Linked DNA regions of Tamandua tetradactyla. The protein of the gene in region 3 interacts with the protein of the main gene of each other region in a pairwise test. Links are inferred from orthologs where the notes say so. Each region holds a gene or a part of one and is shown on either strand. Other genes may lie near its edges.

Evidence for each region.
Region 1: the proteins of PAK5 (region 3) and UXT interact in binary tests that used the Homo sapiens proteins (3 or more experiments, as listed by UniProt). The two-hybrid records come from large-scale screens. The link is inferred for Tamandua tetradactyla from reciprocal best matches to the Homo sapiens genes PAK5 and UXT.
Region 2: the proteins of PAK5 (region 3) and TUBGCP4 interact in a two-hybrid assay, tested with the Homo sapiens proteins (2 studies listed by BioGRID and IntAct). The two-hybrid records come from large-scale screens. The link is inferred for Tamandua tetradactyla from reciprocal best matches to the Homo sapiens genes PAK5 and TUBGCP4.
Region 4: the proteins of PAK5 (region 3) and INKA1 interact in binary tests that used the Homo sapiens proteins (3 or more experiments, as listed by UniProt). The two-hybrid records come from large-scale screens. The link is inferred for Tamandua tetradactyla from reciprocal best matches to the Homo sapiens genes PAK5 and INKA1.

What each region holds. Positions count from the first base shown.
Region 1 is NC_135353.1:122,466,601-122,474,406, forward strand, and holds the start of UXT (protein UXT), read left to right. Parts: upstream 1-4,804; 5' UTR 4,805-4,870; exon of another isoform or gene 4,871-4,943; intron 4,944-5,047; 5' UTR 5,048-5,056; coding exon 5,057-5,160; intron 5,161-6,102; coding exon 6,103-6,184; intron 6,185-6,302; coding exon 6,303-6,370; intron 6,371-6,646; coding exon 6,647-6,754; intron 6,755-7,806. UniProt on the Homo sapiens protein: Involved in gene transcription regulation. Acts in concert with the corepressor URI1 to regulate androgen receptor AR-mediated transcription. Together with URI1, associates with chromatin to the NKX3-1 promoter region.
Region 2 is NC_135340.1:57,627,005-57,634,562, forward strand, and holds the start of TUBGCP4 (gamma-tubulin complex component 4), read left to right. Parts: upstream 1-4,545; 5' UTR 4,546-4,820; coding exon 4,821-4,898; intron 4,899-7,558. Other genes in the region: ZSCAN29 (zinc finger and SCAN domain-containing protein 29), read right to left, coding at 1-417, 2,367-2,571, 3,040-3,357. UniProt on the Homo sapiens protein: Component of the gamma-tubulin ring complex (gTuRC) which mediates microtubule nucleation.
Region 3 is NC_135327.1:50,970,904-50,978,708, forward strand, and holds the start of PAK5 (serine/threonine-protein kinase PAK 5), read left to right. Parts: upstream 1-4,799; 5' UTR 4,800-4,896; intron 4,897-7,805.
Region 4 is NC_135341.1:36,327,184-36,334,865, reverse strand, and holds the start of INKA1 (PAK4-inhibitor INKA1), read left to right. Parts: upstream 1-4,664; 5' UTR 4,665-4,895; intron 4,896-6,135; 5' UTR 6,136-6,306; intron 6,307-6,342; exon of another isoform or gene 6,343-6,402; 5' UTR 6,403-6,468; coding exon of another isoform or gene 6,469-6,524; 5' UTR 6,525-6,534; coding exon 6,535-6,594; intron 6,595-6,999; coding exon of another isoform or gene 7,000-7,027; intron 7,028-7,261; coding exon of another isoform or gene 7,262-7,349; intron 7,350-7,444; coding exon of another isoform or gene 7,445-7,499; intron 7,500-7,682. Other genes in the region: CDHR4 (cadherin-related family member 4), read right to left, coding at 6,469-6,524, 7,000-7,027, 7,262-7,349, 7,445-7,499. UniProt on the Homo sapiens protein: Inhibitor of the serine/threonine-protein kinase PAK4. Acts by binding PAK4 in a substrate-like manner, inhibiting the protein kinase activity.

The DNA.
Region 1 (7,806 bases), on a different chromosome or scaffold from region 3:
GTGTAAAGTCTAGGGAACCACTGCCTAACACAACGTCTGGAAGATGCTTCCCTTTGTTTTCTTCTACCAGTTTTTAAGTCCTAGTTCTTATATTAGGTCTTTGATCCATTTTGCATTAATTTTTGAATATGATATGAGATGGGAATCCTCCTTCGTTCTTTTGCATGTGGTTATCCAGTTCTCCCAGCACCATTTATTGAAGAGACTATTCATTCCCAATTGAGTGGATTTGGCATTGTTGTCAAAAATCAATTGGACCTGGAGGAACTGAGTGTGGGGAAATGAATGGACATTCGCACACTGGTGTTTCTGGCGGCAGTGATCACTATCCACAAAGAATGGGTAGCCTAAGGATAAAATGACTGAGGACTGGAAGGGGAAACAATGGTGTATACAATGGACTACTGAGCTGCTGCAAGAAGGAATGAAGTTGGAAGGCATGCAATAAGATGAATGAACCTTAAGAACTGAATGTTGAATAAAATGTCAGGATAAAGAAAAATATTGTCATGCCTCAATTATATGGTCTAACTATAATATAAAAACTCACTGAATTAAAGTTGAGAGCATGGGTTATCAGGTTGGGGCTTTTGTAAAGGGTCCTAGATTCTAGGCTCTTACAGCAGTCACGTATATTCAGGAGATGTAATTGTTAATTCTAAATTCTGAGATACTGAGCTGCTTGCATGTAACATGATCTTTCCCAGAAACTTCGGGTATTTATGTGACACCTAAGACTCAGAGTCAGAGCTCTGAAGCTATGAAAGTAAGCAGTACCCCGTACAGGAACAGTTTAAAAAGTTGAAAAAGTGATCAGACATTGAGTAGAGATATGAATGAAGCTGATCTGGACAGGACTAAGGTATATAAGAAGACTGGGAAAAGGACAGTATCATTCATATCTTAAAACTTCGACTTCTGTGTGAGACTAAAGGGATAGATGTTTATTTGGGACAAAATTTATATTTTGGGTAGTGCATTTCCTAATTTAATTTGTGTGGTCAGTTTAGTTGAACACCTTAAGTACAGGGAATCTTGAATAGGGCATGAGATTTTGTTAGATTGTCCAGGTTAGTGTGATGTCCCAATAAATCCCAAAATGATTCAGACAGTGAATAAAGAAGTAATTGCCAGTTCTCCTTAGGGGAATGGGGAGAAAGGGGAAAAGATTCAACTTCCACATTTGGAGAATTTCTGATACTCTCACAAAGCAGTGGGGACAACCAAATCAATAGGCTGAGTCCCCAGTCTTGGGGTTCGCCCCTATGAAATTTATTCCTGCGAAGGATAAGCTAAGCCTACTTAAAATTAGGCATAAGAGTCACACACACACACACCCAGAGAACCTCTTTTGTTGCTCAGATGTGGTTTCTTTCTCTAAGGTGACATGGCAAGGGAACCCACAGCCCTTCCCTCCTATGTGAGACATGACTTCCAGGGGTGTAAATCTCCCTGGCAATGTGGGACAGAAATTCCAGGATGAGATGGGACTCAGCATCAAGGGATTGAGAAAACCTTATTGACCAAAAGGAGGAAGAGAGAAATGAGAAAAAATAAAGTGTCAGTGGCTGAGAGATTTCAAACAGAGTCAAGATATTATCCTGGAGGTTGTTCACACAAATTATATAGATATTCCTTTTTAGTTTATGGTGTATTTGAGTGGCTAGAGGAAAGTACCTGAAACTGTAGAGCTGTGCTCCAGTAGCCTTGTTTCTTAAAGATGATTATATAATGATATGGCTTTTACAAAGTGACTGTGTGATTGTGAAAACCTTGTGTCTGATGCTCCTTTTATCTATGGTGTGGACAGATGAGTAAAAAATGTGGATAAAAAATAAACAGATAATAAGAGGTACAAAGATTAAAATAAATTGGGTAGATGGAGATACTAGTGGTAAATACTAGTGGTCAATGAGAGGGAGCAGTTAGAGGTATGGTATGTATGAGTTGTTTTTTTTAAGGAGGAGGTTCATTCATTTTTTTCATTTATTCATTCATCGTACAAGTATTTTGGGTGCCCATTTGAACAAGTATAAGGCCTTTTACTAGGTTCTCATTTGGCCCCAGAGACAGGAAGAAATGCATGCCTTCCCAGAGAACTTATAAACCTTCCCTTTTGGCGTTTTCTGGTTACGGTATGGTTTAATCCCTAATTAGCACTGCATGGTTTAATTCCAAATCCATAACTCTTATATTTCCTCTGGCCACTATGATAAGCAGGTAGCTGGGTTTTCTATGGAGCTTGCTCTTGAAGTTGCAGAAATCCTCCCTGTTGTAGATATTTCATTTTTTATAGCTCATCCCTCATGAAAAATGGCTGTTGCCACTGTTGGAACAGAAGGAGGGATAATGACCAACCAATTCCCAAACCCAGTTTCACTGGGCCCAGCTTTGGGAAACAAACACCCCATAATCAAGCTGCTGCAACTGATTTTGAAATGTATTTACCAGTTGTATCCATTTTAAATTATTTTCTCTTTCCCTGCTTACAAATATATATTGCCTAAATAGATCTAGTTCAAAACAATCCTCATAGAGCACCATGATAAAACTGGAGATGGAGACATGATTTGTCTTTTGTAACAGCTACGCAACTTAAACTATAGAAGTGTCCTCCTCTTTATCAACAAAAGCTGCTCAAGAAAGGACTTGGTTTTTTGTTTGTTTTAATTTTAATTTTTTTAAAAATATATAACAACAAACACAAAATTCTTAAAATATGATCATTCTGGTCTACATATATAATCAGTAATTCACACTATCATCACATACGTGCATATTCAACATCATAATTTCTTAGAACATTTGCATCAATTCAGAAAAAGGAATAAAAAGACAACAGAAAAAAATTCATACATACCATACCCCTTACCCCTCCCTTTCATTGATCACTAGCATTTCAATCTATTAAATTTATTTTAACATTTGTTCCCCCATTATTTATTTATTTTTAATCCTTATGTTTTACTCATCTGTCATTAAGGTAGATAAAAGAAGCATCGGAAGCAAGGTTTTCACAATCACACAGTCACATTGCGAAAGCTATATCACTATACAATCATCTTCAAGAAACATGGCTACTAGAACACAGCTCTACATTTTCAGGCAGTTCCCTCCAGCCTCTCCATTACATCTTGAATAACAAGGTGATATCTACTTAATGTGTAAGAATAACATCCAGGATAACCTCTCGACTCCGTTTGGACTCTCAGCCATTGACACTTTATTTTGTTTCATTTCTCTCTTTCCCCTTTTGGTCGAGAAGGTTTTCTCAATCCCTTGATGCTGAGTCCCAGCCTATTCTAGGATATCTGTCCCACCTTGCTAGGAAGGTCCACACCCCTGGGAGTCATATCCCACGTAAAGAGGGGGAGGGCAGTGAGTTTGCTTGCTGTGTTGGCTGGAGAGAGAGGCCATATCTGAACAACAAAAGAGGTTCTCTTGGGGATGACTCTTAGGCCTAATTTTAAGTAGGCTTAACCTATCCTTTGTGGGGTTAAGTTTCATATAAACAAACCCCAAGATTGGGGACTCAGCCTATTGCTTTAGTTGTCCCCACTGCTTGTGAGAGTATCAAGAATTCTCCACTTGGGGAAGTTGAATTTTCCCCTTTTCTCACCATTCCCCGAAGGGGACTTTGCAAATAACTTTTTTATTCACTTTTCAAATCATCCTGGGATTTATGGGGGCATCACTCTAGACAAACCTTCAAAATCTTATGTCCTGCTCAAGGTTCCAAGTACTTATTGTGTTCAATTAAGCTGTCCACATAAGTTATATTAGGGACTGCACTAGTCAAAATATAAATTTTGTACCAAATAAACATTTTTTGGAAAGGACTTGTTTTAGTGGCATAATGTCGATGGATGAAAACGCTTTTTAAAATGTTATCCTGCTAGCTTACTCTTTTTTTCTTTTTATTTCTTTTTCTGGAGTGATGCAAATGTTCAAAAAAGATCATGGTGATGAATACACAGCCATATGATGATATTGTGAGCCACTGATTGTATACCATGTATGGACTGTATGTATGTTGAAGATTTCTCAATAAAAAATATTTTTTAAAAAAGAACGTAACAATAAAAAAAAAGCTTACAAATTTAAATAAAACACACAGGAACTATTTCTACTACGAGATAGCCAAACGTGAGTGGAAAACGTCATCGACCCTCCATATGACCTCCCTACTACAAGAGGCAATTAGAGGCAATTAGACATAACAGGTTAATGTCCACTTGAACCCCATTTATGGATTGTGGGCCGCAAAGCTGCAGTCATCAATGATGAATTTGAGACAATCTGACTCCGTTAAAAAAAAAAAAAGTTTAAATGCTCACACTCATTACCATTACCGTGATTCAAACTCAAATCTCCCAGGTGAGTAAAAATCAAATCCAGGTCGATAGGTTACATGGGATGTACTCCCTTCCCTGCAGACCAGAACCATAATTAACTTTTGCAGGTCTCTTTCCACAGCCCTTCCTTTTAAATATCAAATGCTTTACTCCCTTTCTCTATCTCTACCTGTGAGTCCCACCTCCCCCAGAACCCGCCAAATCCCATTAAACCCCACCCCTACGAGTTCTGCATGCTCCCCATAAGCTCCGCACGTAACTTTCATTGTCCCTACTAGCTGGTTCATTGCCAAAACAGCCCCTACTCGCACGCTCCGCAGTCTTCACTTCGCTTCGGATACATAAAGCTCCGCCCTTCTCTTCTCCGCTTTGGCCAGTCTTCTTCCGTTCAGGACCGCCCCCTCCATACCTGGCCATATGATTGGCCATCCGGCTTGCCATTACATCATTCATCCGCGCCACCCGGAAGCCGCGGTTCATACCAACTCGCCGTTCTTTTTCCTGGCGGTTCTAAGGTACGGGCCGCATTTGGATGTCCCTGAATGGCAGTGTCCCAGAGTTGGGAGGGACGGAAGGCGGAACCCCCAGGTTGGGTCGGACGAGCCCATTCCCAACGTCAGGAGGGTGGAGATGTGCTGGTCATGAGGCCGAATTGGAGTGATCAACATGTCTTCCCCCTCCTAACTGTCCAGGAGCCCATCATGGCGACGCCCCCGCCCCCTAAACGGCGGGCCTTGGAAGCCACGGCAGAGAAAGTGCTGCGCTATGAGGCATTTATCAGCGACGTGCTACAGCGGGACCTGCAGTGAGTGACTGGATACGGGGCAGGACGTTTGGAAAGCTCCACGTGGTGGGCGGGGTGTTCAGAGTCAGGGCCGAACCTTCTGATTGGTGAGCGGGCGTTTGGAGCTCGTCCCCTCGCCCCTTGCTATCCGGAAGGAAGGACTACATTTGGGGTGAGGTTTGGCTGGGACTTGGCGTTCAGAGTGGCAGGCACGTCCGCGCCTACGTAGCCTATGATATCGCGTAATGGTTCAGAGCTAGGTTTCTGGACCCAAGTTCGAATCCCGGTTCAGCCACTTGCCATCCGTGTGAATACCTTGTTCCTCGCCTCTGTGTGCCTCAGTCTCCCCAGAGGTGAAATGGAGAAGTAGATAAACCTCATGCAGTGGCCTTGGGTTTTCAATGAATCCTATCATTGTAAAGAATTTAGCATGAATGCTGGAAACATACTAGAGCCTCAACGAGTATGAAGAATTGTTATTAATGTATCATAATCCAAGCAGGAAGTAGAGTGCTCAGAACTAGGGCTATGAGAATTTTCTAGGGTAAAGATGGGACATTCTCATCGAGGAAGATATTTGGGTTGGAGTATAATAATAATAGTAATAATTAATAGCTATCATGTATGTAGAGCTTACTGTTTGGCAGTCACTATTCTAAGCACTTTATATGAAACACTCATTTAATCTTCCTAATGAATTTGAGGTAACACTGTCATCCCTGTTTTATAGATGGGAAAACTGAGTCCCAGAGAGGTTACTTGTCAAGGTCACACAAGCTAGTAAAGGGGAGAGCCTGGATTCAAGCCCAGGTAGTCTGACTCCAGAGGCCAAAATCTTAACTTCTGCACCAAAATGCCTCTTCATGGCGTGGTAACATGAGGGTCTCAGAGGGTCATGATATCAGGTATCCCCAGAGGGACAGGATCACGTATTGGTCACCAATTAGACTCTCACCCCATCAGAAAGGTGCTGGACCATCGTGACAAGGTATATGAGCAGCTGGCCAAATACCTTCAACTGAGAAACGTCATTGAAAAACTCCAGGTAAAAACACTAGGGTTGGGTACCTTTGGGAGATGGGAGAAGAAACTCCAGAGCAAGACCTGTCACCTGACATAAAATCTGACACCTGACCCCTACCTCTTTCTCCCTCACCCCATAGGAAACTAACCATTCGGAGTTATATATGCAGGTGGATTTGGGCTGTAACTTCTTCGTTGACGCAGTGGTGTGAGTGCCTACCCATCTACCTACCTTTGAATCTACAAGGTTCAGCATCCCCCCTCCTTCATTCAACAAAATATTTTTGAGCATCTGCTATATACCAGACACCATGCTAGGTTCTGGGGATGTGACAGTGAATAAAGTAGGACAAAAGTCTTGCCCTCCCAGAGCTTCAATTTGGGCCAGGCTGGGGGTAGGGAGGAATCAGAAAACATCTTAAACTGGCTGGTATGCTAAATGATGTAAAGAACTTTACACCTCCTCTAACCACTCTTTCATTAGCCCAGACACTTCACGGATCTTTGTGGCCATTGGATATGGCTTTTTCCTGGAGCTGACATTGGCAGAAGCTCTCAAGTTCATTGATCGTAAGAGCAGCCTTCTCACAGAGTAAGTTCCATTCATGAGGACAGTGTCTAAAAACACCACCATTATCAATACCCTTCTTCCTCTTCCCATGGCTACCATGGATGATACTTTAGGACCCAACTCCCTTCCTTCTCGGGGCTGGGGCTGAAGAAAGTGAGAATGCAAAGCTTAGCACCAAACACAGCACCTAATAAGCATTCAGTTATGGTCTTTGTATTGTTCATTTGCACAAATATTTATTGGGCATCTTTTGGATGTGATAATGGCATTGCACTCTTGAAGGACAGTGGCCTTATTTACACACAGGAGTGTTTAATGGTAAAGTGTCATGATGCCTGGAACTTTCATATGGTCCAGCAAAAAAAGCATGAGTTTGTAGAGAAAAAGAGAAAGTAGATGTAACAGATGATTAATGAGTTATGAATCTGGGTGAAGGGTTTACAGGTGTTCATTATACTATTTCATTGGTTCTGTAGGATTGAAATTTTTCAAAGTAAAAGAAAAGCTTCAAAAAATTTTTACAGTTGATTTGTTCAAATCCACAAAAGACCATATAACAAGGTCCATATATCACACTTGGTTGATAGGTCTTTTAGGTCTCTATTACTTTATTTCATTTTCTAGGATTGAGAACTATTTTGATGGCTATAGAAAACCAGATAGGGTTATATACAACCTTTTTCTCTCCCAGAAGTTTAGATGTGAATTAAAGGAGAAAAAGATGTGTACCCAGTGGGAGAAATGGGAGGGAGGAGGAGGTGTTTGTTTTCAAGAATGGTCTAGTAATAGTGATAAAAATAATAATAGCAAACATTTACATAGCACTTACTATGCCAGGATAAGCACTGGACATTTTTCACTCATTTAACCCTCACAACAACCCTATGAAGTGGGTACTATTATCCCATTTTCAGATGCATGATTGAGGCCCAAAAAAGGTTAGAAGTGGAGATGGGATTTAAACCCAGGCTTTCTGGCTCCGAATTTGTGCCCTCCAGTGGATTGAATTGTTTAATGTCTGAGGGTTCCCTGTTCATGGAAAGAAATACTCAACACTGTTTTTATTTTGTTTG
Region 2 (7,558 bases), on a different chromosome or scaffold from region 3:
TCTTGACTTTGCGATAGCTCTTCTGGAGACCTTTGAACTTGGTCCGACACTGTTCCAGGGTCCGGAAGAAGCCATACTCCCGGAGTCGCTCAGCCACAGCCCCATATACTTGGCTGTTTCGATGACAGTTCCTAAGAGCCTCATAAAACTCAGTCTGGCTGAGAATTGCGAGGAGAGTTTTGGTTTCTTCATAGCCCCAGTGTACCCCTGCCACCTTCTCATCCTCAAAGCCCCAGGGATCCTGTTCCACCCAGCTTCTTCTCTCTCTCCTTTTTGGTAACAGATCAGCATGCATTCGTCTATCTCCTGTATGATCGCCTCTTGGGAATTCCCTCTCCTTGGAGCCCAGCAGATCTGGGATCCATGGCTCTCCTTGCTCCAGCCTGGAGGCCACACCATATTTAGGAAATGGAAATCCTGCTTGCAGGGAAGTAAACAAAGGATATCATAGTTTGGACTGCTCATAAAACACCTGTGAGTTTAGTCCTGTCTTTTTTATCAAGATGATTATAAGGAAAGCATCTAGGGAAATGTTTCCAGAAAGTTCACTTTGTTGAGGAAAGTAAAAATACTGGAAACCTTAAAACATGAGAAAGATTTCCTTTTCCAGAGCAGGGTGACTAGAGATGAAGAGATCCTGTTGTATGCTCAGAGCAGATAATTCTATTCCAAGTTGCTCCCTACGGCTTCTGACCACCACTTGTATGCAAGTCCTAATGCTGTTGGGAACAGTCACCTCCTGTCTCCTACAGTTGCTTCATCTGGGGCTAAAGAATTAAACTCTGTGTAATCTCAAGGGTGGGAAATAGGGGATTGTCTACCAAGGTCTAAAGGCATTTCCCTTAGTATGTCCTTCTGCTCTAATTTTATTGGCACTATCCAAGTCTAGACTCCTTATCCCGTCACACCCGGATAACCACAGTAGTCAGTCACTGCCTTACCTCGCTTCAGGCCCTCACTTCCTCAATTAAAATACTATTGCTGCCAAATTAGTGTGTTGTGAACACCATTCCCATCACATCTCTTCTTGCTCAGAACTTTCATCAACTCTCTAAATCTTAACCTCATCCAATTTAAACTCCCCTGCAGTTTCTGAGATCAGAATCTAGCCTTATCCTACTTATTGAATCTTAACCTTATTGCCTACCACACACTCTCCATGCATATTAGACTGTTCTCTCCAGAGCACAGCATACCTTTTATCCACCATTCTGTACTTTTCCTTTAATTCCGTCCTATCATATTGAACCCATCCTTCTAGAAGTTCTATATACCAGTGCCCTCAAGTTTTCCCTACACCATCCCTACCTTATCTCTCACTCTGCCAAACAGATATAGTACACAACTGAGTGGTAAGTCATTGTTTGGCACTGTTTCAATACAATTCTGTTCAGCACGTATTTATAATTTGCTGTGCGTCCTCAATCATACTGTAAGATCTTTGAAGACAGGCACCTCTTCTTATTGCACAGAGTACTCTGCAAGGTTTTGAGCACGTGGTAGGTATTCAAAAACCACTTTCTGATTAACCTGCAAGTCTGGTGTGTGGTTCAGGCATTTGATCTGGATGATGAGATAAAGACCATTACCAAACTGGTTGAGAAGGCTAAGATCTTGGACGATAAGATTAGAATTCAAAATAGCCTCAAAAAGTTAAAGAACAAAGTAATTTGCAAAATGGAGTTCAATAGAGTACAAAGAAGAAAAACAAGTTCTACAAAATCAAGTACAAGAATTAGCAACTAGGCACACTTGTAATAGAGAAAGTGATAAGAGTCCTGGAAGTTACCACGTGAACAAGAATGATCAAATAATCCTAAATTGGACTATACTAAAAGAAAATGTAGCAAAATTGTGAAAGAAAAGCTCTCATTCTATCTCTACCTACCAGACACTCACTGGAATAGTTCTCCACAAATAACATGACATCTGGTGAACTTAAAGGTTATAGAGGAGAGTAAGAAAAAAACTTAAGTCTGAAGAATTCAGCTTCAGGGGCAAAGCTTAAACAACAAATATAGTTTTATATGAAGAAGGAAAATGAATAAAAGAAGCTGGGTCTTCAAGTATAGAAAATAAGTTTTATCTAGAAAATAGTGACCCACTGTCATCATTACCAAAAGGAAATAAAATAGTTCCAAATTCTGATAAAACTATGGAGCCATCCTCTAGCAGATTTATCAAAAGTAGAAATATAAAAATACTGTAGGCAGAGGGCTAAATTACATGTCTTCAGGAGGTCCCCAACATCTGCATATTCTACAATTTTCCACTTATTCCTGAAATCCCTTTCCCACTTTCTATTCCCAACCTTACTTCCCCAGTTAGAATGGTATGCTATCTTCCCACATGAATCTACTCCTCACCGCTCCTTTGAAAAGGTCTGAGCTTCTCCTTTGGGTTCATCTGCTCCTGTGGTCCCAGGTCTGGGCTTCTCGCCCTCTCTTTCTTGGGTACACCCCTGGACTGGGGTTCCACTGACTCCTGCCGAACACTTAATAACTCCCGTGATGATTTCAGGGGTGTCATCTTCTCCAAGCGCACTTCCTGCCCCTTCACAGAGACTGTGACCTAGAAACAACCCCCATTAATTGTCACTGCATGGTCGTAGTGGGGGGGGGGCATTCCCAAAGGAGATTAGTTAATACCCCAAAAGAGAGCATCCTCTGGGACACGGCTGCGATTATAGGGGGAGGAGATAATACTGAACATGGGTCTCATTCCATTACTGTTAGCTTAGAGCAGCTGAACTCTAGAAGGAAAAGATCAAAACAATAAACCCAACTACAGGCTAGAAAAAGAAAAATCCCTCTGTCTTCCCTATTAAGTAAGAAACCACGAATAACTCATTATGGCAGGGTAGGTAAAGGTACACCCAGGTAAAATTTCCAGACAAGCTCTATCCGAAAAACTTACCTGTTGCAGTTAAAATTGCAAAAAGGGACTATGCCCTTCTTTAAAACTATCTATATATTTATCTGGCCCTTTACCCTTGCCCCTTTCCAATCACACATTTCTGAATTCCCTCTCCCTTCTCACCGAACGTCCAGGTCTTCCAGGCTTTCTTTCTAAATCTTCTACCAGAGCCACTGCCTCCTCTCCACTTTCTGGACATTGCTCCTGTACCCAATTCTGGATCTCCCCAGGTAAGATGGTCAGGAACTGCTCTAGCACCAACAATTCTACAATCTGCTCCTTGGTGCGCACCTCCGGCCTTAGCCACCGACAGCAAAGTTCCCAGAGTTGGCTGAAAGCCTCCCGGGGCCCAGCCACCTCCTGGTAATGGAATCTCCTGAAGCGCTGGCGGAAGGTCTCAGAGTTAGTGCCATTCCCTCTCAAAGTGGGTTTGGCCATCATTCATAGCAGAAAGCAGCTTCCCTCCACTTAAGTCTGGGTTCCAGGGCCTACACCTATTTTCCCATGTCCTTGGAGAAGCACCTGCAGAAGACTCTCTCTCTGTGAGAGGAGTTTGTTCCTATAATAGAGAGAGATGGCACTATCAGAAGGAATATATTTATATGCCTAAAGTCTTGTCAGGATTGGCCTGACTTCCCATATGCTCCAAGTGGCCATCTGAGGTAGCACCATCTTCAGAGCAGCAAGCCAACACTATGAGCATAAAGGAGTGGGACCTTTCAAAAGCTGCCTTTTGTGGGTGACGTCCAGGACAGCCCCGGGGAAGCAGCAGAGAATAGTATTGTGTGGGGTCCTGTCCCACATCCCCCTTATCTGGTACTATTTAGCTCCCCTGACCAATGACAGTGAATTTGAACCATATGGGAGACTTGGAGCTCGGGAGGATCTAAAGGCAATTCACGACCTGCTGAAAGCCATGGAAAGTCTCTGTCCAGCGGGTTGCAGATGATCTCTCCCAGGACCCTCGCAGTCCTCCCTGAGGCCCTCTGAGTCCGCCCCGCCCCGCCCCGCCCCTTTCAACTTCACAACTACCAATTTCCATCCCAGAGAAAAATCAATTACTGAATATCGGATCTTTGTTTCTCCCTCAGAGCATTAGTAAACTGCTCAACAAGGACTCGGGAGCTACTGAAAGGAAACCATGCGCATCTAAAGTTGGCTTAGGCTCCTGAAACTAAGGCCGAGCAGACTTGGAGAGAGTAACATCGAGTTGGTGGAGGAGTTGGAGAGGGCAGTGGTGATGGGTTTCCTGGGAATGATGAGTTCTGGTGCTGACCAGAGCCTCCGAGTGCTGCGGGGTTCGCGGGCGCGGGGCTCAGCTTAAGCAGGGGCGGGTAAGGGGTTCCGGCCTCTTTGTCTTGGCTCCCTCTGGCCGGGTCACTTTTGGAGCCCCCGTGAAGTCCCTTCTAGAGGCCTTCAATCGGCCTAAGGCACCCTAAGAGCGCCCCCCCCGGCCCACCCCTGGGAGCGTCTCCCTCAGGGGCTGTCCTTTAACCCACTCGCATCCCTACCCAGGACAACCTCACCCACTTCGGGTCCGGCCCCAGCCCCAGCTCTCCAGCCTCCCAGTCCAGCTCCCAAACCGGAAGTCCGAGCGGGAGACTCGGGACACAAAAGGCGCATGCGCGAGCAGCCAAGGCGCCTCCATCTCCCGCGGAGACTGTAGCTAGAGAGCCGGCTGGCCCGGCGGATCGCCGTGCACTTCCGGTGCTCGGCGCGCAGACCTCTGTCGGGTTTCCCATCTGCTTTTCCCGCAGCAGTTCTATCCGTGGGCCTCATTGAGGAGAACCTTCCCGCTCACGGGCTTGTGCGTTCGCCAAGGAGGGAGCGTCGCCTCCGTGGTCTTCTGGAGGGACGCCGGAGGAGAGGGTGACGTATCCAAGGACTCGCGTTCCTCCGTGGGAATGATCCACGAATTGCTTTTGGCTCTGAGCGGGTATCCGGGGTCCATTTTCACCTGGAACAAACGAAGTGGCCTCCAGGTAAGGAGCGCGGGAAGTAACGAGCATATATTCCCGGGACCTGAGCGCGGGAAGTAACGAGCATATATTCCCGGGACCTGAGCCAGAGCCTGGGGTGGAGTCTGAGGGTGTGGAGAAAGCGAGACTTGCAGGCGCTGTGGTTGAAGGGGCGTGCCCCTGAACTGGTAACTGGAGTCCGATGCCCGAGGGGCCTCCGGGTTAGAGGCCGTTCTGGGGGAAACTGAGGGCAGATCCTGAGAGGCCTCACCCTGGCGGGGGACGTGAGACTCAAGGGGCCTAAGGGTCTAGTGTCCGAACCTGAGGAGCTGGAGAACTGCATGTAAAAGTGAAAGAGGAGGAGGAAAAAAGGTGAAAGAGTCACTTTCTCCCATTTTTACACTTGCACTGTGCTTCGAACTGAATTTTGAAGGCCGGCCCAAATACACAGCGCTTGACACGTGCTCAGCAAATTTTGTTGAATGAAGAAATGAATGAGAGCATCTGATGTGTTCCACTTATTACTCGGAAAGGAGTAATTTCCGCAATAGGTGGAAGTGTAATCAGGGCTGTATGAAGTGCTATGTGTTAGACATTTTACATATGCATTATCTCATTTAATCCTCACACCCACCAGTCTCTATTTTACAGCTGAACCTAGAGTCAATATTATGTAACTCTCGGCGTCACGTAGTTGATTAGTAATTAGCAGAGCCTGGCTTTGAACCCAGGTCGTTCTGCCTCCAGTTATCTGAACTATTCTTACCTATTTCTGCTTCCCCTAATGTTATCCAGTACTCGCAATCACTTGAGAAGTTAGATATTGTGAGCCCCAGCTTACAACTGAGCAAGCTGAAGCTCAGAACTTCATACCTGGAGTCCTAGTGGTGACAAATTGAATCTGGGTCTGTGTGGTCACAAAGTTGTGCCATTATTATGTTAACTGACGTTATAGGTTGTGGAAGAGCAGAAAAATTACATTATAGTTTATAAAACGTATAAATCAAACAGATTCCTCTTGTTTTTATAAATTTATGTTTGCAGGTTGGGAATTTAGGTGAGGTTTCCTTAAAAAAATAAGCGAGTTGAAAATTTGTATGGTAGAGTTTGAATTGTTACTTTTTTAACATTTTAAAATTGTGAAGTATATTGTATATACAAAAAAGCAATAAATTCCAAAGTACATTGTAACAAGCAGTTATTGAGCAGATTTCAAAGTTTGGTATGGGTTACAGTTCAACAATTTCAGGTTTTTCCTTCTAGCTGCTTCAAGACACCAAAGACTAAAAGGAATATCTATACAGTGATTCAGTAGTCATACTCATTTGTTAAATCCTATCTTCTCTGTTGTAACTCCTCCTTCTCCTTTGATCCTTCGCCCAATCTTTAAGAGTATTTGTGCTCTTCCCATTCTAACTTTTTCATGCTGGAAAGGGTATTGATAATATGGGATAAGTGCATGAAACTCGTTGATATTCTTGAAGAGGCTAGCCCCTCTGCGTTTCAGGTCTTATCTGGCCTAGGAACTACCTGGAGATTGTAGGTTTCTGGAAAGTAATGTTCACATGTGAAACTTTCGTAGAATCTCAAATAGAGCCTAGATATTTTTTAGGTTAACAGGAATGATGTTGATTGAGTTTGGCAAAACATGGCTATTAGCAATAGCTAGCTGAAAGTTACCTAAGAGTAGCCTCCAGAATAGCCTCTCTACTCTACTTGAGCTCTGTTAGCCACTGATACCTTATTTTGTTACATTTCTTTTTCCCCCTTGTGGTCAGGAAGGCATTGTCAATTCCATGGTGCCAGGGCCAGAGTCATCCCTGAGAATCATGTCCCACATTGCCAGAGAGACTTTCACCCCTGGGAGTCTTGTCCTACATAGGGGGGAGGGTAATGATTTTCTTTACAGAGTTGGGCTTAGAGAGAGAGAGGTCATATCTGAGCATGAATTGTTACTTTTTTAGTACAGGTCTTTGAAGACTGAATTGGTGTTTTATTTTTCCTCCATAGAACTTTGCACAATTTCAGGCATATAGGCGGAGAATGTTCACTAAGTATCTACTGGATGTTTGACTATCTGAAGTAAAAGGAGATTAAAATAGAGTAGAGGAGAGGTAGCTGCTAGGAGCTGAGAAGGGAACCACAAGTAATTCAGCTTTCTTCTTCCTTTCTTTTTTATGAAAAAGTCTCTGTTACTTTCCTCTTTTTTATTCTTAGTCTCAGCTTTAAAGATACCTCCTCAGAAAAAGTTTCCCTGGCACCTCTTTCAATTAGGTATCTTCCTTTTATGTTATTGTTCTCTATCACTGCCACCTGTTTATTTCTCTTATAATACCACAAATCATTAAGATTTATTTATTGTTCTTATCTGTTTATCCTTTTCCCTGCATACATTGCCCATGGAACAGAGACCACGGTAGCCTTCATCATTATACCTGGAGCATCTAGCACAACTTCTGCCCCATAGTAGGTATTTAGATATTTATAGAAGAAAACAAGGTGACCAAAAAAAGAGAATATTGCTTTCTTTCTCAGAGTAGTGTTTTTTACAATTGAATAAAGGGGAAAAAACTGTCATGGATACCCAATGTTGATGAAAATTATTTTATTGTAATATCGAATATGTATACACACACAGCTATGTATAAACTAAAGCATAGCTTGCTCTTAACTATAAAGCCAAA
Region 3 (7,805 bases):
AAAATAAGAACTAAATGGGAGGATTAACACCCCCAGACTTTAAAATCTTTTATAAAGCCACAGTGGTCAAAACAGCATCGTGCTGCCACAAAGACAGAAGCATTGACCGATGGAAACAAATTGAGAGGGCATAAATAGATCACCAAATCTATGGTCAACTGATTTTTGACAAGGCCCCCAAATTCTTTGAACTGGAACAAAAAAGGCTTTTCAATAAATGGGCATGGAAGAACTGGATCTCACTAGTCAAAAGAATGAAAGAGGACCCGTATCTTACATCTTATACAAAAATTAACTCAAAGTAGATAAAACACCTAAATATAAGAACTAGCACCATAAGGCTTCTAGAAGAATATGTAGGGAAACATCTTCAAGACTTACTATTGGGAGGTAGCTTCCTAAACTTTATACCCAAAGCACAAGCAACAAAAGAAAAAATAGATAAATGGGATCTCCTCAAAATCAAATGCTTCTGCACCTCAGAAAACTTTGTCAAAAAGGTGAAGAGGCCAACTCAATGGGAGAAAATATTTGGAAATCACATATCAGACAAAGGTTTGATTTCCTGTATATACGAAGAGATCATACAACTCAACAACAAAAGAACAAACAATCCAATTATAAAATAGGCTAAAGATATGAATAGGCATTTTTATGAAGAGCAAATACAGATGGTTCAAAATCACATGAAGAGATGCTCATTTTCACTGGCTATAAGGAAAATGCAGATCAAGACTACAATGAGATACTACCTCACACCTATAAGATTGGCTGTTATTAAGCCATCAGGAAACTATAAATGTTGGAGAGAATGTGGAGAAACTTGGACACTTATGCACTGCTGGTGGGAAGATACAATGGTGCAGCCACTATGGAAGACTGTTTGGAGGTTCCTTAGGAAACTGAATGTGGAGCTGCCCTATGACCCAGCAATAGCACTACCTGGTATATACCCAGAAGAGCTGAAAGCAATGACACAAACAGACATTTGCACACCGATGTTCATAGCAGCATTATTCACAATTGCCAAAAGACGGAAACAAACCAAATGCCCATCAACAGATGAGTGGATCAACAAAATGTGGTATATACATATGATGGAATATTATGCAGCAGAAAGACAAAATGACGTCCTGAAGCACATGACAAGATAGATGAGCCTTGAGGACATAATGCTGAGTGAAATTAGCCAGACAGAAAAAAGGACAGATACTGTATGATTCCACTTTTATGCCCAGTATGAAGGTATAATCAGAGACTTATAATATAGAATACAGGGGACTTGGAGATGCTTAGAAGCTAGAGATGGATGAACCATTAGCTAATGAGGTTGAACTCCAATGCAAGGGAATAGATAGGAGTGAAGGTGATTCTCTAGTGGGTCTAGAAGTAATTTTACCATATTGAAGATGAACAAGATTGAAAGGGATTGTATAGACCTATGTATCTCACTGACTCACACTTGAAATATGAATGAGTTCTTGTAAGAATTACTTCAAAGATTTGATTCTTGTATAAAGAGTGTTTAAGTCCAGGGTACAGGGGGAAAACAGCTATTGCATGCTGTGAGCTATGTTCAAAAGGAGACCATCAGCATTACCACAGCAACAGCAGAGGTAAATAATGGGGTGAGGGACAAGAGTTAAGAGGAAGTTTAGATCTCCTATTTGGTCAGAGTATGTTTATTGGTTTTCTGTCTCTTCGGAGCAATGAAATTATCTAAAATTGAGAATGTTGATGGACTGTGGACGTTAGGCCCGATGAATGCTGGTGGCTGTAGGATGCAGTGATGGAGAAGTAGAATGGCAAATGATGGTGTATACTTATGAACAATGCTGTGCTGCTACAAAAAGGAACATTGTCGTGAAGCATGCAATGGTGTGAATGAACATGTAGGGTATTTGGTGAGACAAAATAAGCCAGAAGCAAAAAAACAACAATGTTATGGTCACCTTTAGAAAATGCTTATAAGAAAACAGGAGCCTAGATTTTAAGCTTTTAGAGCAGACACATTAGGTCCAGAGTGGTGATTATTATTTCTGGACTTTGACATATATATATAAATAGATATATATATAACCTGATATTTAGAGATAAGAACAAAGTCAAGCAGGTTAGGGTTAAAGTAATTCAGAGCATAGGGGTAAGGAAGACAATGTCTATGTTTTAGAACCACACATACTCTTTCAGAGCAATGGAAGAAAGGTTTATTTGGTCTGGAACTGAAATTTTCTGTAGTGCATAATCTAATTCAACCTATCTGTATAGCTCATTTGAACAACTGAAACACAGAGAGCACAGAATGAGAAAGAGGCCCTTTAATCCTGTATAGATTATTAATGCCTGGAAACATCCTAGAGTATATTAACCAGATAATCAAAAAGTATTGGCAAGGTCCCCTGAGGGAGGGGAGAAAGACTCTGGAACTATTAAGCCTTACCATCAGGGAATCCCTGATACTGTGTCAAACTTCAGGGACACCCAAATCAATAAGCCATGCCCTCGATCCTGAGACTTACTCTTGTGAAGCTTATGTAGGTAGCCTAGACGATTAGAGTAGGCATGCCTAAGAGTTACTTCTGGAGGACCTCTGTTGCTCAGATGTGGCCTCAGTCTCTCTAAGCCTAACTCTGAAAGTGAAATCATTGGCCTCCATGCTACATGGGAAATGACATCCAGGGGTAAAAGTCTCCCTGGCAGTGTGGGAGAGGACTCGCAGACCTGGCACTGTGGGATCAACAATTACTTCCTGACCAAAAGGGTGAAAAGAAGTGTAATTAATAAAGTATCAGTGGCAGAGAGAGTTCAAACAGAGCTGAGAGGCTACTCTGGAGGTGGCTCTTATGCAAGCTTCAGGTAAACTTTGCTACCTATTATAACCTGCCAACCCCCAACCAGGTCCACTCCAGCCAATTCTAAAGAATACCTAGGGCAACTTATAAGATTCCACAAGGGTTTCAGGCACTAGAGTAACTTGCCAGAAATCTACACTCTCCAGATGAGTCCCTGGTCCAGACAAGTTCTGCAAACTAGCCCAGCCTCTCCAGAACATCAGATACTTCCATCTCTCTATCTCACATTAGTGGCAGACCCTTCCTATATAAAAATTTTACAATTGCCATAGCCTGAACAACCCCAATGCGAGGTATGGAAAGATCAAAAGTGACTTAACAAATGAATAGGAATGCTGAATCATTAAACTGATATCTCTTTTAGTCTCCAGTATTTTAGAGCAGCTAGAAGTAAAAACCTAAAATTGTGAAATTGTAACCCATGTTAAAAGTCTGAAACATGTTCTACAACTAATTGTGGTGCTGTGCTTAGAAATATATAGCTTTTTTGTATATATGTTATTATTCACAAAAAAAGAAGGAAAAAAAGTCAATTGTGATGATAAAAAAGAATATATGCCTCCTATATTCCGGAGCAGCTAGAAGGAAAAATATGGTAGCCCACAACAAACTCTGGGATCTGTCCTGTAACCACTTTTTGAAGAGTGCTTTGAAAACTATTGCTTTTTTATTTCTTTGCTTTGTATGTATGTTATATTATGCAATAAAAAAAATTTTTAAAAAAAGGGTAAACAGAGGTCACTAGGCTCAAATAATTCCAAAAACGTGCAGGGCAAACTCCAAAAAAAAAAAAAAAAAAGTGCAGATAGTAGCTATTATTGGGAAGAGGTAGTGATTTTTAGGAGGTAAGAGGGGTCTTCTGAGATGTTGGTTGTCTCAGCGGTCCCATGACCACCCACTAGTTCAATAATTAGCTAGAAGAACTGACATGGTTGAGGTCCTTCCCTCAACATGAAGTTATATTCACACTTAAGATTTATGACAGCATAGGATACAGCACAGGACCAGCAGGAAAAAGTTATGCACCAGCAAAGTCATTAGAAGTCCAATCGGCTTTTAAAATTTTTTTTTACAATTAATTCTTTTTTTCAAACTTTTTAAAATTGCACAATATAACATATACACAAAGCAAAGAAAGGAAAAAGCAATGGTTTTCAAAGCATTCTTCAACAAATAGTTACAGGACAGACCCCAGAGTTTGTCATGGGCTACCATATGATCCTCTCAGATTTTTCCTTCTAGCTGCTCCAGAATATGGGAGGCTCGAAGGAATAACAATTTTTTAATCATCACAATCTACTTTTTTCTTTCTTTTTTTTGTGAAAAATCACATATATATAAAAAAGCAATAAATTTCAAAGCACAGCACCACAATTAATTGTAGGCCAGATTTCAGAATTTGGCATGGGTTGCAATTCCACAATTTTAGGTTTTTACTTCCAGCTGCTCTAAGATGCTGGAGACTAAAAGAGATATCAGTTTAATGATTCAGCATTCCTATTCATTTGCTACATCCTATCTTCTCTGTATAACTACACCATCACCTTTGATTTTTCTAGCCCTCTCTTTAGGGGTATTTGGGCTATGGCCATTCAAACAGTCCAACAAGCTTTTTTGCTTCTTTCAGCAGGTATCTCAGGGAGCGTCTTCTCTGGATATGAATTTCAGGGACTTATGCCAGATGTTTGTGCCCAGGAAAGTCAGAATGAGTCTTGAGTTCCAAAGCTCTTAAATGGAAGAACTTATCTGGTACATGGCCAGCCATGGTGTGAACCCCAAAGCAATCCCCCAATGCACATCGTGAATCCTGGTGTTTACTTTACATGACAAACACAGTCCGTCTTGACCCAGTGCTTAGGGATATGGACTAATATGATTACCTAGTCATTATGTGAACATTAGAGTCTTTTAGTTCTCAGAGTTGACCAAGGGTCATCACCATGGTAACACACTTAAAGGGGAACTGGGTGAACCAGACCTGCTGTGCTAACTCTTTCTGCTCACTTGGCAATGCTCTTTCTTCTTCTGAGGACTGATTATATGGGTACGTTTAGTTTGTACTTACGTGTGCATATTATACTCCAAACATTATATTTTTTTAGTGATTTATGTAGCAGCCCATCTTCATCAATTAGGGCTATTTTGAGAAGATAAATACCTTTTTGCAGGTTCTTGTAAGGTTACTGAAACCCTGGGAGGTTATCAACACAATATTAGCCATCAAACCAAAATGGGCTCACCTGACATGCACAGTAGCTTAGACTTTAAGCTACAAGTCACCTATACCTCATTCTGCCATTTTCTTACATTCATTGTTTGACTAAGCAGGAATCAACATATGCTCAATAATCAGATCACCGCTAATTACATCATCTGGGGCCACTGTGTTCCTTATCCTAAACCCTGCCCAATTTTTCTCTAATAAAGTTATCACAATTACTGTGGTTCTGGGAGACAGACTTTGGGCCACTAGGCCATCTGCTCTCCTACTATACGCTTAGCAATAAACTCTTTCTCTCTTTGGAAAAAAAAAGTAATAATAATACTAGGAAACATTGGGGACTATCAAAAACAGGAAAAACTCTAAATCTAAGAATTATTAAAGTAAGTGTAAAGAGAGTTAGAGTGAATTAAATCTCCTATACTCAGTTTCAGAATACTTCTGAATGTGTGGCAGTAATTATGAGGAAAATTGTGGTCCTTTTGGCCATTCTTGAAGTGTCTGAAGTGATCAAAATAATCAGGCATATCAAATATGTAATTCAGATCCAAGTTTTTAAGGGAATTTAATCAATTGCATAATCTATGTTAAAAGTGGTTCAAAATAGGTTTTCGATTTCTTTGTACGATATTTTTAATTTAAAACGTGAACCCAAAGGCCTGGGTCCTCCCAGCGGGTCGTTCCGAGGATGTGGCTCTGGGGTCTGGGCTCCAGGTGGCGGGTCGCCGGACCGTCCCTGGGCGGTGGCCACAGTGGCCCAGGAGGCCAGAATGAGCAGACAGTTCCATTCGGCCTCTCGCCGCCCACCCGCCTCTTTGTCCTCTGGGGCCTCACAGGGGGCAAAGGCCTTGGTGGGGGGCATCTTTGTAGACCCAGTGAGCTCGCGGGCAGGAGGGCTGTACCTTCTTCCAGAAGCTTCCATTTGGAGGTACTTGAAGGCCAGACCCAAGCCCCAAGGGGTCCCTTGAGTGGTGCAGGTTGGACACAGCTGCAATGGGGGCCTGGCCTTGGGGTCTCCCCTTGAAGACCGAGGGGCTGCTGGTGCTGTCTGTGTCAGGGACCAACAGCGACTGGAATAGGCCCAGGTGTTGTACCCCAGGACTTATCTCCCAGAGGGAAGAAGGCGGATAATTAGTAAGCAAATAAATAAATTAATAAGCTAATTTGAAATAATAATAAGAGCCCTGATAGGAAAAAAAGACTTTTAAAATACATGTGCAATAAAAACTCAATAGATTTGAGTTAAGTTTGTCTTTTACTATTAATTAATTATGTAATCTTGAGCAAGTTCCTTCAGCTTTCTTATCTGTGCAGTGAAGGGGGCAATAGCTTCCTTCAATGAGATGGTCTATGGCGCTGTCCTAAAGGTCCAATTTTGCATTTTAGAAATTCACTGCTTTGTTACCATTGGCTAATCCAACAAATGCTTTGTTTATCTCCCATGGCTGGGGCACTAGGTTAAGTGACATAGAGAAATGGAATGTTGGAAAACACAGGATTAAGAGCAGGGCATGCAAACATCGAGACAACTCCAAGCAAGGAAATGAGGCCAGAGTGAGCCTGAGGAGCTAAGGAAGACTCCGGCAGTATCTGAATGGTATCTTTGTGAACCAATAGGATTTCAACAGGAAAAAGGTAGGGGAAGCTAATGGTGGAGGAACACTTACACGAAGGCTTCCTGCATGGAAATGCCAAAGTTTAACAGAAAAAAGGTTGGCCTTGTTGGCTTGAGGATTATGAAGAGGATGTGGAGAAATGAGACAGTAAAGAAAGATTTGCACTAAACCATGAAGGTCCTTAACTTCCATGTGAAGGACTTTGGGGACAATGAGGACCTGAGAAAGTTTTTAGGGTGAGGGAGAACATAAGTGGACCTGGATTTCAGATTCACATTCTCAAACAGCAAATTAGTTCCCTAGGAATCAGATTTTGGGACAGAGGTCAGTGTTTGGGGAGTTTATTAAGCAGTATCCTTTGGACACAATGCCCTGGGACAGGAGGAGAAGAAAACAGAAGCAGCAGAGGGAGAAATCGAGAGGGATGCAGGCCCCGTGGCATCTTGGCCAATGCTCCAGGGAGATCTGGGGTGGCCTTCAGAGCTGACCCAAAGTTGACCAACAAAATCTTTAATCATTGGCCATTGCTTCGGGGCTACCCAGGAAAGGCTGTGGCATTGGACAAGGCCATTTTCTTCCACTGAGATGATCCCATGACTGAAGGCTGCCTACTGACCACACACCCCGGGATAAGTGAGTCCTTCACTGTAGGGGGATCTAGGTGGTGCTTTAGAACTATTCAGGGGCCTTCAGAAATCTGGTTTTCACTCCAAATTGGTAGCCATGGAGGAAAGCCAGGCACTTTTATTTTAAATGAGCTTCCCTAATGATTTTTTAAAAAATTTTTATTCTAGTAATATACAGACAACCTAAAATTTCCCCCTTTTAACCATATTCAAATATATAATGCATTGCTGTTAATTACATCCATAATGTTGGGCTGCCATCACCACCATCCATTACCACAACTTTTCCATCATTCCAAATAGAAACTGTACATTGTAAACCTTAATAGATGATTTTGGTGCACAGAAATTTGATAACTTCCCTTCTACATAGTCATTCAAAAGCATTGTGTAAAGACCCTGGCCAGGCCTAACCCCTTTGCTTTTGGCACATCTTTTCTGCCCCCAATTACTTTTCTTTAATATTCACAGACACTCTATGAAAGGAGCA
Region 4 (7,682 bases), on a different chromosome or scaffold from region 3:
ATTTCTCTTAGAGTGGAATTGTTAGGTCATATGGTAATTATTTATCTAACCTTATGAGGAACTGCCAGGCTGACTGTTCCAAAGTATATGCACCATTTTACATTCCAACCACTAATATGAGGGTGCCAACTTCTCCACATCCTTACCAACACTTGCTATCATGTGGCTTTTTTATTATAAAAAAAAAGCTGCTTTTAAAGTGTTCATTCAATCATAATATGCCCATTATTTTTATGGACTTTAAGATGCTCTTATTCGCTGACATCAAATTTTAAACTTGAAAAAAAATTCAGCCCTAGACCTGTTCATTTAGCCTGCTCACCTTTTGTATAAGGGGACAGGAGACCAAAAGGGGGATAAGAATTATATCAGGCATCAGTAGCTAAGAGAGTTCAAATAGAGTCAAGAGGTACTCTAGGGGCTACTTTAACACAAACTTCAGCTAAATATTGCTATTTATCATGGTTTGCCAAACTACAATCAAAACCATTCCTGACAACTCTAAAGAACACCTAGGGCTCTACCTGAGATTCAATAAAGGTCCAACGCACTATGTTTACTTGCCAAAAACCTACAACCTCCAGATGCTTCCCAGGCCAGATAAATCCTGAAACCCAGAGGGGCCAGCCTCTCCAGAACTTCAGCTAGTTCCATCCCCCTATCCCATATTATCCACAGCCCTTTCCAACATGAAAAAGTTAGATGAACATAGACCAAATACCCCTAAAGATTGAGAGAAAGATCAAAGAAAAAGATGGAGTTAGAGTAGCTAGGATTTAACAAATGAGTATGACTGCTGAATCTTCATACTAATATTTCTTTTAGTCTCCAGTGTCTTGGAATAGCTAGAAGTAAAAACCTAAAATTGTGTGACCCATACCAAACTCTGAAATCTGTTCTATAACTAATTGTCACAGTGTGCTCTGAAATGTATTGCTTTTTGTATATGTTATTTTTCACAATAAAAAAAATAAAACAATCAGGGAAAAAGATAATAATGAAAAAATTAAAAGCACCACATAAGACATAATTAAAAATCACGGCCTCTCAATATTAAAAAAATAAATAAAATAAGGGGACAGAATACAATAACTAAACCGCCATCCACAAATAAAACTCTTACAGAATTCTGCTCAAAGAGATCAGTAGCAGATTTTCAAGCAGTCAATAAACAAAGTCCCTAACAAGGATTCAGCAATAAAGTAAACATGTATTCCAATTAAAACTCATTTGTAACGCCTCTTTCACAAATATGAGAGCCCTTCAGCTATCATCATCTGCAAAAGAACCAAGATGTCTTAGGTTTTCCCACCGAGAAATGGTAATCTATTTAAAATTTGATGTGTAAGTACAGACCTAGTACCATAAATACACATAATGCCTGACTACTCTTTGACCCCAAACCAAAGACAAATTGCACGGTGCAGCCTTTTTCCAGTTCTGCCCACCACTGTTCCTTATATTCTGAAGGTAGCACTGCCAGTAGAGCAAGCAGCAAATAGTACTAACACATTTACAGCAGCAAGACCAAGAACTAACCAGGAATAGGACTGAAGAACCTCAGCACCTAGTGCCACATGTCACCCAGCAAATGTTTTCCAAGAGTCAAAAATGACATCTTAGCCCGGAAGGGAGATAAACTACTTCTGAGCTGTGGAATTAACTTTCTGTTTCCAGGTCAGACCACTTCTGAGATGTGGAATTAACTTTTTGTTATCAGGTCAAAGTTCTGCACTTTGACTACTTTTGCCACTGTAGTGAGAGCACTGAAAACACGCCTGCTTCCTTAAGAAGCTAGAGTCAACACATGCAAGCATTTACGGCAGAGTTGGAGGTAGCGCTCCATGGCCACTGTTCTACTTGCCCATGCCCATGCCCTGCATTTTCCTGCTTAATTAGAGAAAGCATTTCCAACTCAGACAAATTTAATATATATTGTAAATAGTATGCATCTACTATGTGCCACTGCAAGAAGACACAAAAAGGTATAAAATATAGTTCCTACAGGAGAGAGTTTAGGTAAGAGTTTCCTTCCAGAGGAAACACAAAAAAATTATGTTTAAAAGAGCAAGTACTAAAAAAAAAAAAGAGCAAATACTATTTTATGTTTTTTGCTTAAGGCCAAAAGGGCAATAACACTACTGGAGCTCAGAGGGAGTATCCCCAGGAGCTAGAATGTTTTGTGAGTGTTTCACAAAGAAGGTAGGTAGGAAGGTAGGACCTGAGCTGAATCCCAAAGGAAAAGAACTGGAGCTGTAGAAAAAGGGCATCCCAAACAGGCAAAGGCCCTTTGATTCAGAGAGGATTTGTGTAGGGAATAACGTATTGAATGTTTAGCAAACCATTTTGAGGTGGGCTAGAGCCAGCTTCACAACAGCAACCTGAATGCTAAATTAGGACATCAGATCTATATTTCATAAGCCTGAAGCAATTCCTGACTTCTGTGCAGGATCTCATTGAAGTATTTCTGTTCCCTCAGATAGTTAAAAGTGTCCAACTTCAAAGGTGAATCACATAAAGACAAAGAAGTTAAAGGAGATTTAGTGTCCACTATTATAACAACACTTTCACCCATTCGCCTCAAAAATATCCAGAGCAAAAATACTACTATCAGCTAACTTTGGGTGATACCATGCTCAATAAAGAATCACCCACTACTCAAATATTCATGAGGAGGTAAGAGCATTAAATAAAAGCAATAAAAGTTCTTAGATATTCTATAATATTCCTTGGGTGAGCAGTTCTAACATAGAGTTAGTCTATGGAGTGGATTTCAATGGGCCCTTGAACTCCCTAAAATTGTATGCAAAAGGTAGTGCTGAGAACTTTTATAAGGAAAAAGCCTGTCTCATTCTATATCTCAAGAGATCTAATATCCAAAACAGGCTAGAAACCTATGGGTTATTTTAACAGAAACCAGCAAAAATTTAACCCCATTAAACGGTTAATTTGGGAAGCCAGGTGCCTGACTTTCTAAAGGAAGAGTTAGTGGAAAACAAAGATATCTTGAGGCAATTTTCAAAAGTCCCTATTATTTTAATGTTTCCCTCCCTTCTTATCAAGAACTGTCCAAGAAACTGGTCTCAGCAAAGTCAAAACTCATTAATGATTCAAAATATGGCCCCGAAGAGAGCAATTTAATAACTAAAGACTACTCAGCTCTCTCTTCTCACAAGTATAATCTCAGACAAACAACAGACGAACTGGGTTCAGTATTTGCTCTCCAAAATGACTCCTAAGCAAGAACCTGGTTTCTTTCAAAATCAAACATTCTTAGGTGACAAGATCCTGACACAAGTGCACAAAGTACACTTTTGTATGACCGCATACAAGGAGCCTTTGTGGAGAAGCTATGGGACCAAAGGAAAGAGAAATGTGTTCTAGAGCTATCAAAACTGTTTCTAGACCTGCACATTCTACCGGGGTTCTCCAACCACCCCCCAACTCCACCCTGTCTGAGAGAAAGGAACCTGTTTTCATAAGGCAAGATACATTTAGTACTGTTCTGTTAAAAGTTCATTTTAGTAGTTCAATATCATCCACTACAGCAAAAACAAGTTTCATTTCTTTTACTGACTCGAATACACTCCTGTATTCCTTCATCAAACTGGCGGAACAACACTAGGGGACACAACCAACCAAATCATGACTGTAACATTCACTCTCTCCTAGAGAAAAAGAGGAAGACCTTACCACACTCCAAGAAGTAGTAGTCGAGAAGCCAAAATAATTATGTTCCAAAATAAAATTCAGGAATCACGGACATTTAACCAAGCTCTTCAGGAAGAAGCAAACGGGTACCGAGCTCTGAGGCGCCGGGAAGCGTGGTAGAGGGCCCTGTCAGAATCAAAGCGCCGTGACACCGGCCTGCCTGGCTGGGTCTTTCGCCTGCGTCTTCTAGTCTATCTCCGGCGGTCTGAAAATCACTCGCAGGAGCGACAATTAGGAAAGAGATGCGAGTATTTCCCATCCGGGAGCCACACAACACCCCTGAGAGCATCAGCGCTAGGGCCCAGCGGAGACCCGGGCTACGATCGGAGAAGCCGGTTTCCAGCTACCTCGTCGGCCCGCCCCCGGGTGCGTGGCTCTCCGACTCCATCCCTGCTGTCCCTACGGCCCGGCCCCACAGCCTCGGCACCGGCCTCTAGTAAGCCCCGCCGATGGCCAGTCAGAACGCTCTAGCAATGTTCGGCCAATGCCCTAGCCCCGCGCCCGCCAGCCCAAACCCCGCGCCCACCGCCGACTGCAGGGCGGCTGTCAGGCGGGCCTTTCGGTCCGGCTCCTGTCACTCACCGGCCCAGCCCGGGCAGCGGGCGCCCACGGCTCCCCACGGGAGCTGGGCCCCCCGGGCCTCCAGATTTCGGCCCGCCCCCAAGCAGACAGCGCAGGTGGCTGAGCCCCGCAGCAGCGGCCCTAAACCGGCCGCTCGATCCAGCTCCCAGCGCTGCCCACTGGGTACGGATCAACAACAAGATGGCGGCCAGCCGAGGGGGCGGTGACCGGGCGTCATAGCAACCAGGACAACGAAGAGCCCGCCCCTAACTTAGGTTATTTCCAATCAACAGCCTCTGCGCCAGCCGCCGGAGGGGTGCTTCCCACTGACAGGCCGGCCCGCCTGTCAGTTAAACTGTGCCCCGCTAGGCCCCTGCTGAAGCCCCGAGCACGTGACTATGACGCACGGGTTGGCGCGTGCGCGTCGTGCCCCGAGTCGCTGGCGGCAGAGTTCTTGCCGGCTACTCGAGGACTGAGCGCCCTTGGTCTCTTTGCGCGCGCGGGCCCCGTGCAGAGCTGGCAGGGTCTTCCCACACGCACGCGCACACACTTAGGGAATGCCTGCTGTGTGCTATTTGCTTTGTCACCCACGCTGGGAGGAAGGAGTTGTCCCCGGTTTACTGGTGAGGAAACTGAGGCGCAGAGAGTGAAGCCTAGGCCAAGGTCACTACTAACCCATGGTAGTAAAGGTGCAGGGTCTCGTATATGTGCTTACTGACTCGAGAGGATAATGCCCTCTTCCCAGTGGCGTCCCCAGCTTTTCCCCTCATCTGTCCCGAGGGTTGCCGTCTGCTGCCCCGGTAGCCCCTGGCCCTTTGCTTTAGCTGCTCCTTTTGTCTGGAACTCATCCCTAGTACAAGCCCTGGCACACAGCGGACACTCCCTCCTCCCTGTCCTAAAGTATCTTGTCTTGAGTTTCTATGACAGCATCTTTTGCCCCGGACTGTCCTGACATGCCTTCAAAACACCCTCCACGGGAATTTTGAGTCCCTGCAGACGGTTATCTCTGGTTCTCCACACAAAGCACTGGGTTTCGCTCCAGGCTTTGGCGCCAGGCGCAGTTACACACCCTGGGGTCCAATGTTACCCGACTAGCCAGCTCTGTTACTTTTGAGCCTTGGTTGACCCACCTGTAAAACGAGGATAATGGTCATGCTCCTTAGAGGTGACAGTGAAGATTTAATGAGCCCTTAGAGCAGAATAAGTGCTCAGGAAGAGTCCACCTGCGGATCTTTCCTTTAACAGCCTGCTCCCAGTTTGCCATCCCTGAGGCCTGATCTGATGTCCTCACTTTAGTGGGAGCCTGAAAGAGATGCTTTTCTCCTTGCAGAAGGCCTTGGGCTGCTTCTATGGTTACCATAACTGGCTCGGGAAGGAACGGCCTTCAGTGGCATCAGAGGGTTCGGACCCACAGTCTTGGTTGAGGAGGGGGGGAAGACTGAGAGAACCTGGGAACACCTTAGTAAGGGTAGCCTCACCCAGAGAGTAGGTCCCCTTAGCTAGCAGTAGCCGGAGACCTGATTCCAGACTGGCATCGATTCCAGAATGGACCAGCACTGCACCCAGGGGACCCAGCCCTCCAGGTTGCTGTGGGTCACCTAGCTATGTTCAGTAACTCATCTCAGCATAGGACTGATCATGGGCCAAGGAACGAGAAGAAACTCAGAATGAAATGGGGCACCGTCCAAGAAGGGCGCCACCATCACCTCCTCCACAAGTAGTCATACCATAGTCTTCTCAAGTCTGCACCACCCCCACCCTAGTGCAAAAGTTCCAGATCCTTCCCACAATGACCCACACACGTTGAGCCAATTGCCATAGAGATTGGTGGGTCCTTCAAACAGCAACTTTGTCCTCTTCCAGTGAGAAAAGGAAGCTTGTGGCTCTCCCTGCCTGCCAAAGCTATATGGCCTCTGAGGGGACAGACAGATTCAAGGTCCCCCTACCTCCAGGGAGCATCTGGCAGTCATAGCATTGTATGATGACTTCTTAAAAGAAAAATAATCCTGTGACTCCCTGGAGTGTGCCCACAAGGTAGGGCATTCTCCAAGTGAGAACAAAGAAACACAGACCTCACAGCTTCCACCACTGGGATTTTGAGGATTGTAATTTTGTTTATTGTTGAATCAGCTTGAACACACAGGCCATGACCAAGTGAAAAAGAAATTCCACACATAGTGAGACAGCTGCTTGACCTCAGAGCCATCGCCGGGCTCCTGTGCACGTGTTGAACAGGTAATCTCTGCCTGTACCTATGTCCAAATGGCCAGGAGAGAGGAAGGGCATTGCCAGCCTCAACAGAACTGCCCCTCTGTCCTAAAGGTAGGGAAAAGCATTCCAGGACTCTGGGTGTGACTCTCTTCTGCTGGGATCCAATCTTTCCCCTCCCTCCCTTCTCAACTCAGGAAGTCCTTCAAGGCCTGGTTCAAATGCCCAGGAAGCCTCAATGCCCCAAAACTGAATGCTAGCTTTCATAAGGCCAGTGCCAGATCATTTTGCCATATTTCACTGGTGACACTGGAGTAATCTGGGAGCCCCACCCCACCCTACCCCACCATGGATAGAGAGACCAGACCAGGTCTGAGTCACAGGTGTTTAACAGACTTTTTCTGAGGAGTGAGCAGGAATGAAAGCAGACCCAAATCAGGGAAAGAGTAGATACTGGATGCCTAATGTTAGTTGGAGATAGGGCCCAGGTGGAATATGGTTTGGGAAGGGGAAACTCACAGTAGTCCTGTGCTCTGCCATCAAAATGCTGATGAGGGGGAAAATGAGAGGTTGCAATGAATTGAACTCTGCCGACAGAGGAGCAGATGGAGGCCTGCCCCTGAAAGGGCCAGAAGGCCACCTGCCTCCCCCATCCTGATGGAGCAGTCATGTGTGTTTGCACGGGGGCAGCCATCCATAAGGAAAAGGGCAGGCTTGAAAGGGCAAGCAGTACTCTGGAGAGACCTCAGTGCCCACTACTTGGATGGATGGGTTGCCATACCAGGCTCATGACACTGCTGGGTGCCTGAGACGTCTCCATCCTCGGTGCCTCTGTGAACCCCTCAATGGATGCCTCAGTTCCCTGGATGCTGGGGAAAGTAGGAGCAGGGGATATAAAATAAGGCTCTTGGCCCCAGCCTGAGTTTAAGAGGTGGGCTCCCAGTATGGAGCAAAGGCAGCTGACCTGTTCAGCAGCAAAGTCTGGGCTGGTTTGCTCGATGCTTGCAGCACCTGGACCACCCTAAAATGCCAGAAAGAGGGACCAAGAAGTAAGGACAACAGGCCTGATAGCTCCGGGAACCAGTACCATTCATCCACCCCTTTATCCTGAGGACAGCCAATATCTATATGTGATGCTCACATTGTTACCCCACCTCTCCTTGGGCTAGTCCTGTGCTCACAAGGAATCCAGAGCAGGTTTC